2 linked regions of the Canis lupus familiaris genome follow. Each later gene encodes a partner of the first gene's protein in a complex. Links are inferred from orthologs where the notes say so. Each region holds a gene or a part of one and is shown on either strand. Other genes may lie near its edges.

Region 1 (3,743 bases):
TCCCATCCTCACAGCCCTGCCTAGGGCAACCTCGGAAGAATGGAGGTACAGAGGTGAAAGAACCCTCAGCTCCTGGGAATCAGAGTGGCATCAGAACCATGGCCTGATCCTCCTCCTCCATCCTGGGAGAAACTCTGAGGCTTTGCCAGGGTGTACGCTCTGTCCCAGAGTGGGTTCCTAGGTCGGGTCTGCGGGGCAAGCCTGAGTGGTCCCAAGTCCAAGCCACACTGGACATGTTCTTCACTGAGCCCTGGGACAAGAGGTCTCGTTGTCCCTCCAGCTCCAATCCGGGGCCCAATGGCAGTCAAGTGTCAGCTTACCTCTTTAGAGAGCCGGGTAAAGAGGTCTCCACCACGCAGGAAGTCCAGGATAAGATAGAGCTTTCCCTCCGTCTGGAAGGCTGGGGAGAGGGAAAAGGCAATGGTGGAGCCAGCTGGGCCCTGGGCCCTGCCCCTCTACCCTAAGCTCCCTTTGTCTGCTGGGGTAGGGGTGACCTAGGGGAAAGGTAGTAGCCCACAGGCAAGGGCAAAGGCTGGTAGGTCGGGTGGGAGTTCAAGTAGGGTCTGTGATCTCACCATAGTGCAGCTTCACCACAAATGGGTGGTTCACATCTGCTAGGATGTCTCTCTCCATCTTGGTCCGAACGCGGTCACGCACTGGCCAGAAGAGAAACGCAGTCACAGATAATCTAGCCCCTCAAAACAGTCATCCCCAAGCCCTGGCCAAGAAGGGCTCTCTCTTTCATGTGTCCCTCCCATCTCACGGCAGTGCCCAGAGTAGAGCCCTTGGCACCCTGCCCATCCCACTAGTCCCATCTCCTGTGCCCAGTTCGGCTCTGCTTGGGGAGGTGACCTTCACTCACCTTTCAGCGTTGCCTTCTTTAGTACCTTCATGGCATACAGGTGCCCACTATCAGGTCGGGTGATTTTCCGCACTAGGAAGACCTGAGAAGGCAATGGGAAAAAGCAGAGAAATTGGGGAGGGGACTAAGCCTATCAGCTCCTATCCTCTGGGTCCTAGGTTGACCTCTAATTTTCCAGAGTCCTAGGTTGACCTTCGGGCCTCCCTGGGTACCAGAGTGACCTCCTGCCCTCCCCTCAGACCCATCAACCCTTGCCCTCTGATCCTGAACCCCAAAGTGACCCCTAACCCCCACCTCTGACATGAGTTGCCCTCCCAGTTTGGGCTCAGGACTCACTTTGCCAAAGGATCCCTGGCCCAGAACCTTGAGCAGCTCAAAATGGGATGGGTCGGCCTTCTCAGAGCCAGCCTTGACATGGTGCGTGATGGAGATCTCCTTTAGGACGCCCTCATCCTGATGGAGGAACAGAGCTGGTGAGTATGGTTGTCCCATCCAGGTGAGCAGGGAATATGGTCCCCATCCTAGCCTACTCCTCCTGGAGGCAGGGCCCTGTTAGCCATACCAGATGGCCATACTGATGGGGCCAGCCTGCTGGTTCATCAATACCAAAAGGGCCTCAAGGGCCAGGGATGGTCAAACTACCAAGGTGCTGAGTCAGGGGGAGGCACTGCTCCTACTGCCCCTGCTGCTCTGACCTGGTGAGACCCAAAGGGATACCCAGGCACAGCCCAGGTCCTGCCTGTGGGACTCCCCTCCCCCTGCTGCAAAGGTGTTAGTTTTGCCACAATAGGAAGTAGTGTGTATTCTCATACCGGGGAGGTAGAGCCAGGCTTTTGTTCCGGGTCAGAATGGATGAGAGGATCCTTGGCCAGAAGGACAGTGCTCAGATGCACAGACACTCAAGAGTCACTAGAGACCACCCCCACCAACCCAGTAAGTGCCAGTCAGGGGTGGACAGGAGCTAAGGCCGAGACTCCATGATCCACTCTTTGAAACTTCCTTCTAGGAGTTTTCTAAAAATCCGTTGCTGGTCCTAGTTGTTCTAGGACCCTTCTGCCCTCCCTCCAATCTGCCGGGATTGCCCTGGAGCCCTGAAGTGCTTCCTCACTTCCCCAGGAAGCAAGTCTGGGCAGGGTCCAGTTGTCCAGTAGGGCCAGGCCTGGGCTAGGAGAGCCGGAAGCCAACTAAGGCCAAACTAGCTGCCCAGGCACCTGCTCCAAGGACCACAGCTGGGCCAGGACCACACATCTGGGCACACTCACCAAGTCCCGCCTGGGGCCAGAGCCAGGGCCAGGGGCAGGCAAAGAGGTCTGGCTGGTCCTGGGCCGCTGCTTCCTGGGCAGCCAGGGGAGCAGGGCCCAGAGCCGCAGGCGGGGCGGCTTGGGATCCTGCTCCATTCGCCCGGCAGGGCCAAGGCACCATGGCAGGAGCAGGCAGCGTCCGGGGCTGCCTCCGAGGTGGCCGGGCCCAAGGCGGATGTGCAGGGTGAGGGCGGGGGCTGGGCCCAGCTCAGCACCGCCAATCACTTAGGGCCTGTGGTTTCCCAGCTCCAGGCCTACAATCTTACCACGTTCCCTTCCTCTCTTTTGCCCCCCTCCCCGTTGCCTGAGTGCTGCCCTCCGGCCCTCCCCCTTCCCCCATCCTCCCTGTGGGCCTACAAAGGGAGAGCCCCATGCCACTCCAGCTGCTGAGGGGGAGACAGGTACCCAACAGGCAAAGACTGGCATCTAACATGCAGAGGCAGATAAAGAGGGACACCCAACAGATAGAGGCAGGCATCAACAGGTAAAGACAGACCAAGGTAGGCATCCAACAGGCAGAGGTGGGAGGGTACACATGCCCACCAGGCAAGGATGGATAGGGACACATACCCAGCAAAGGGAGGTAGGAAGAACACTTACCCAATGATCAGAGACAGATGGGGACATGTACCCACCGAAACAGAGGCAGGAGGGAACTCATACCTGACAGGTAGAGGTGCATGGGGCATATATCCAACAGGCAGAGACAGAAGGGGACGTGAACTCAACAGGCAGAGACAGATGGGGACCCAACAGGCAGAGGCAGATGGGGGTTTGCATCCAACAAGTGGAGACAGATGGGGACATGTACTCAACAGGCAGAGACAGAAGGGGACACCACCCAACAGGCACCCAACACGTGACATGTACCCAACAGGTGAAGACAGGCACTCATCAAGTGGCAAGAGACAGGAACCCGACAACAGAGGCAGGTGGGACACAGAAAGAGAAAGCCAGTCAGTAAGGCCCAAGTAGACTGACAGATACCCAGGCCAGTGCACAGAAAGCCAGGCCCGGAACTCAAGGGCAGAGCTCTGGGTTCTTGCTAGTCTTCTGGGAGGTGGGGTGGGGGAAGAGGTGAGGGGATATCACCTGCAAACATCCTGCATCTTAGAGAGCAGCCCAGTATTCATGGCAGACACACCTCTGAGGTTTCATCCCATGCCAGGGCCTGGAGAGGCCCCAGGACTAACACAGTGGGCTGAGAATGCAGTCTGATGGCTTTGACTCTGATCCAGGTTTCCCAAATCTGTTATCCCCATTTCAGATACAGGAAACCAAGGGCCAGAGGACCGTGACTCACCCAGCCTGAGAATGGACCAGTGACAGAGCCAGTGACACTCAAACCCTTCCCCTAGTTACTGCCTGGCATGGGGTCAGCAGGCCTCAAGTGCCAGGAAAGGGTGAGCAGGTAAGTCAGCGAGAGCCATGCCCTGCCCATCCAAGCCCATCCCCTCCCTCAGTACCGGGATCAGTCCAGGGACTTCCCATTCTAGGTCTAGGACCCGACAGACACGGCCCCATCTTCAGGGGACCTCAGAGAGCCACAAAAGCTACAGTCATAAGAAGCTACAGGCTCT
Region 2 (3,743 bases), on another chromosome or scaffold:
TGAAGTGATATTACACTGAACTTTAAAAATATATTCAGTGACTTGAACACCCAAGATAATATCAGAGTTCTGCTCTGCTGTGGATGCCACAGCAAAAGAATTATGTCAAAGTACATTAAATTCTTAGGAGACACGAATCAAATCCCAAATCACATCAAGGCAGCTAATATAATAATTAGGGATACTGAGGCTATAGAGGAAAAAGACAAAACAGGAGCAGAACAACTAGATGTCTTTAAATACTTGCAGGATAATCAGAAAAGGAACTAGCATTGTTTTAACTGGCCCTAGGAACAAGAACCAGTGGATGAACAGTATAAGAATGCAGATTTGGCTTAACAATACTTTTCCATATTAGCTTCAGAAGTCAATAAATATGAAGAGTGAGAGGAGAGGGGCACCTGGGTGGCTCAGTCGGTTGAGCGTCTGCCTTTAGCTCAGGGCATGATCCCAGGGTCCTGGGATTGACCCGTCTGTCGAGCTCCCTGCTCATCAAAGTCTTTTTCTCCTTTTGGTTCTGCCTGCTTGTGCTCTTTCTTTCAAATAAATAAATAAATAACATCTTAAAAAAAAAAAAAGAGGAGAAATTTACATAAAGTAGGAAAAAGGAGTCAAAAAAACTGGGCATACTGAATGAGCATTCAACAAACATTTAGGTGCTCCTCTGAAGCAGGACATTAAGTCATGCAGATTAGAATGAATTACATCCATAAGTGAAGCTGACTTCCAATCTTCTATGACAAGAAAAAAGGCAAAGTACGGATGATTCTGAAAGGTATATTTTATGAAGAACAGTCTCTAAGTGGTATTCAAGATATTGCACAATTCCACATGAGACAAGATGATGGACTGTTCTAGTAAATGGTAATGGAGCCAAAAGGAGCAGAGATTTATGGAAACATTTCAGAACTAGAGCTCATGTTACTTGATGACTCTTGGAATAACAGTATTTAGCAGGATTTTTGTGCTAATCTAGCTATTCATCTATTAATAATAACAACAATGGAAGCAAACACACAGTGCTATCTAGGGTGTCAGGCAATGTTCTGAACGTTTTACATAGATTAACTCATTTCATTCTCATAACCCTTTGCAATATATTCTATTATCACGCACATTTTAACGGATGAGAAACTAAGGCTTAGCTTCTATCAGGAGAGTTAGGCAGACAACCGATGTCAAAGTTCTATTAAGAGGTTAGATGCCAGATGGATCTACATAATCCCGGAGCCAAAGCTCTTAAATCAGTAGACAGCTGTAAGGGGAGGCAACAAAACCCAAGGCAGGCTGCATATAATGAGTTAAGAGCCCAGTGGAGTGAGAGCGTTGGCGGAAACACAGGGGTTTGAGGAGAAAGATGACTGAAAGCTAAGTGAGGATTTAGCGGTATCAGAATCACAGGACGTGCTTGTTTTGAAAAAAAGAAAAAAAAAAAAGAGAGAAGAAACAACTCAAACAAACAAAACCTGCATTGAATCCAATTTCCTAAGAGATGGGACCTAGGAAATTTTTTTTTTTTTTTTAAAGCAAAAGCATAACCGAGAAACCCTGGGTAATATTGAGGCCCAAGTAAGCTTTAAAAAGTGCTGTGGCAGATCTCTAAGGTTTCTTAGCGTTTTAGCATTCCAGTCGACACTCTAAATGAATTTCCCAAAAAAATGAAAAGAAGGAGGGGAGATTCCAGCAGTTAAAAAAACAACAAAAACAAAAACACAAAAAACGGCCATGCGTTTACAGTCAACACCGTGTACGCTCCCATTTTTCACTAAACAGGTCCTCACGGGAACAGGGATAAAAAGCAGGCAACGGAAGGAGGGGTGTGGTGTTAAAAAAGCAGGCTTGGGGCAGAACTTTCTGGTACAATTTGCCCGCCAAGGAAAACCTCCCTGACTATAAATACATGTGACAATCCGACTGAAAAATGAGGTGGATTCCTCGGATCCGGGTCCGGCTAACGAAGGATGCCAATATGGTCTTGTACGTGCTCAAAGCGTCGCAGGGAACCTCTAGGCTGGGGCCTGTCTGCTCCAAGGCCAAACCAACCGGGGCTCAGCAGAGGAGGTTGTCTGCTCCGCAATTACAACCTCAAGCACCCTGCTCCCGGAGACCACCTGTGCGCACGTACCCGAGGGTCCCCTCGTAAGATTGATTTCCTCCTCAGTGACCAAGTAATCCACTCTTCCGTTCATGTCTCACCGCTCGGCCGGCTCCGCGCCCGGGTCGGCTGGGACTCGCGCAGGTGAAGGTGAACCAATCTCTGCGCGCCACCCGAGGCACAACGCTTTCGGTTTCAGCAGCCCGCGGACCGGAAGAGGAAGGCGGGCGCGCTGGGAGCGCGGGGCATGCTGGGAGTCGTGGTTCGGGCGGCCAGCCCGCCATCTTTACCTCGCCCGGGTCCGCGCCGCCAGCTCTGAGGTGAGCGACGAGCCGCTTGCCGTCCTCCTTTACCGTCGGGAGTGGGCGTCGTCGAGGTCACTCAGTTGATATTGGTGAGGAGAAATTAAACATGAAATCTCCTGACATCTTAGAAAATCGCTACAAACCTGGGTGTGGGGGGTGGGAAATAAGTTCTGTTACTCAGTAATCCTGAGACCCGAGTGGGAGGAGGGGCGTGCCAGGCGTTGCCGCTAATGCGACTGCAGAGCACGAAGTAGCCGGGCAGGTACCATCCGTTCGATGCGCGTTCTCGTGTAAGAGTTTGCTGTATTCGTTCTTCGGTAAGTCGCCCCTGTAGTGGCCACCCACTTTGTTACTGAATTGCCGTGATCCAAAAGGAAAATAAAACTATGACAAGCAGGTACTTAAAAGCTTGGAGCAAGGCGCTGAGGCGGTAACTCCTACGGGTGAGGGGAGACGGGGCACTATCTTCCTTGATATTTACATTTCAGAGACTTGTACCTCACAAGAGGCTTTTGGGCTTTTAGAAAATTGTATGTATATATAGAAGAGACAAAGGAGGGGTACCTAGGTGGCTCAGTCCTTTAATCCTCCAACTCTTGATATCTGGCCGGGCCCTGAGCTCAGGTTGGTCGGGTCTGTGGAGGCCGAGAATATTAAGGCCATTCCACTCTAAGTTCAGTGTCAGCACGAGTACAGCCATCCCAGGCCCCTGTGAATAAGAGCCGAACTTTACCTTACTTCAGTTACAGGAAGAAAACAGCTTAAAGCTTAACGTCCTAGAAAGCCCCATATTAGAATAAGAACAGAGCTCAATGCCCTTGAAAGCCCCATATCAGAATGTAAACAGAACTTGAGAAATGGTGCAGCCACTCTGGAAAACTGTGTGGAGGTTCCTCAAAGAGTTAAAAATAGACCTGCCCTACGACCCAGCAATGGCACTGCTGGGGATTTACCCCAAAGATACAGATGCAATGAAACGCCGGGACACCTGCCCCCCGATGTTTCTAGCAGCAATGTCCACAATAGCCAAACTGTGGAAGGAGCCTCGGTGTCCATCGGAAAATGAATGGATAAAGAAGATGTGGTTTATGTATACAATGGAATATTACTCAGCCATTAGAAACGACAAATACCCACCGTTTGCTTCGAAGTGGATGGAACTGGAAGGAATTATGCTGAGTGAAATGAGTCAATGGGAGAAGGACAAACATTATATGTTCTCATTCATTTGGGGAATATAAATAATAGTGAAAGGGAATAGAAGGGAAGGGAGAAGAAATGGGTAAGAAATATCAGAAAGGGAGACAGAACATAAAGACTCCTAACTCTGGGAAATGAACTAG

The links. Proteins that work in one complex are often made in the same cells at the same time.
Region 2: the proteins of RPS6KA1 (region 1) and SYNJ2BP are in contact, whole or in part, in a crystal structure (PDB 7P74), measured with the Homo sapiens proteins. The link is inferred for Canis lupus familiaris from reciprocal best matches to the Homo sapiens genes RPS6KA1 and SYNJ2BP. Residues at the interface, in NP_002944.2 of Homo sapiens: Pro731, Ser732, Thr733, Thr734, Leu735; in NP_060843.2 of Homo sapiens: Arg18, Gly22, Leu23, Gly24, Phe25, Asn26, Ile27, Val28, Gln33, Ser45, Arg46, His78, Val82, Phe85, Arg86.

What each region holds. Positions count from the first base shown.
Region 1 is NC_049223.1:72,914,551-72,918,293, forward strand, and holds the start of RPS6KA1 (ribosomal protein S6 kinase alpha-1), read right to left. Parts: upstream 2,346-3,743; 5' UTR 2,260-2,345; coding exon 2,125-2,259; exon of another isoform or gene 1,357-2,124; intron 1,336-1,356; exon of another isoform or gene 1,316-1,335; coding exon 1,199-1,315; exon of another isoform or gene 945-1,198; coding exon 863-944; exon of another isoform or gene 657-862; coding exon 576-656; exon of another isoform or gene 401-575; coding exon 321-400; exon of another isoform or gene 1-320. UniProt on the Homo sapiens protein: Serine/threonine-protein kinase that acts downstream of ERK (MAPK1/ERK2 and MAPK3/ERK1) signaling and mediates mitogenic and stress-induced activation of the transcription factors CREB1, ETV1/ER81 and NR4A1/NUR77, regulates translation through RPS6 and EIF4B phosphorylation, and mediates cellular proliferation, survival, and differentiation by modulating mTOR signaling and repressing pro-apoptotic function of BAD and DAPK1.
Region 2 is NC_049229.1:44,348,566-44,352,308, forward strand, and holds the start of SYNJ2BP (synaptojanin-2-binding protein), read right to left. Parts: upstream 2,230-3,743; 5' UTR 2,190-2,229; coding exon 2,126-2,189; intron 1-2,125. UniProt on the Homo sapiens protein: Regulates endocytosis of activin type 2 receptor kinases through the Ral/RALBP1-dependent pathway and may be involved in suppression of activin-induced signal transduction.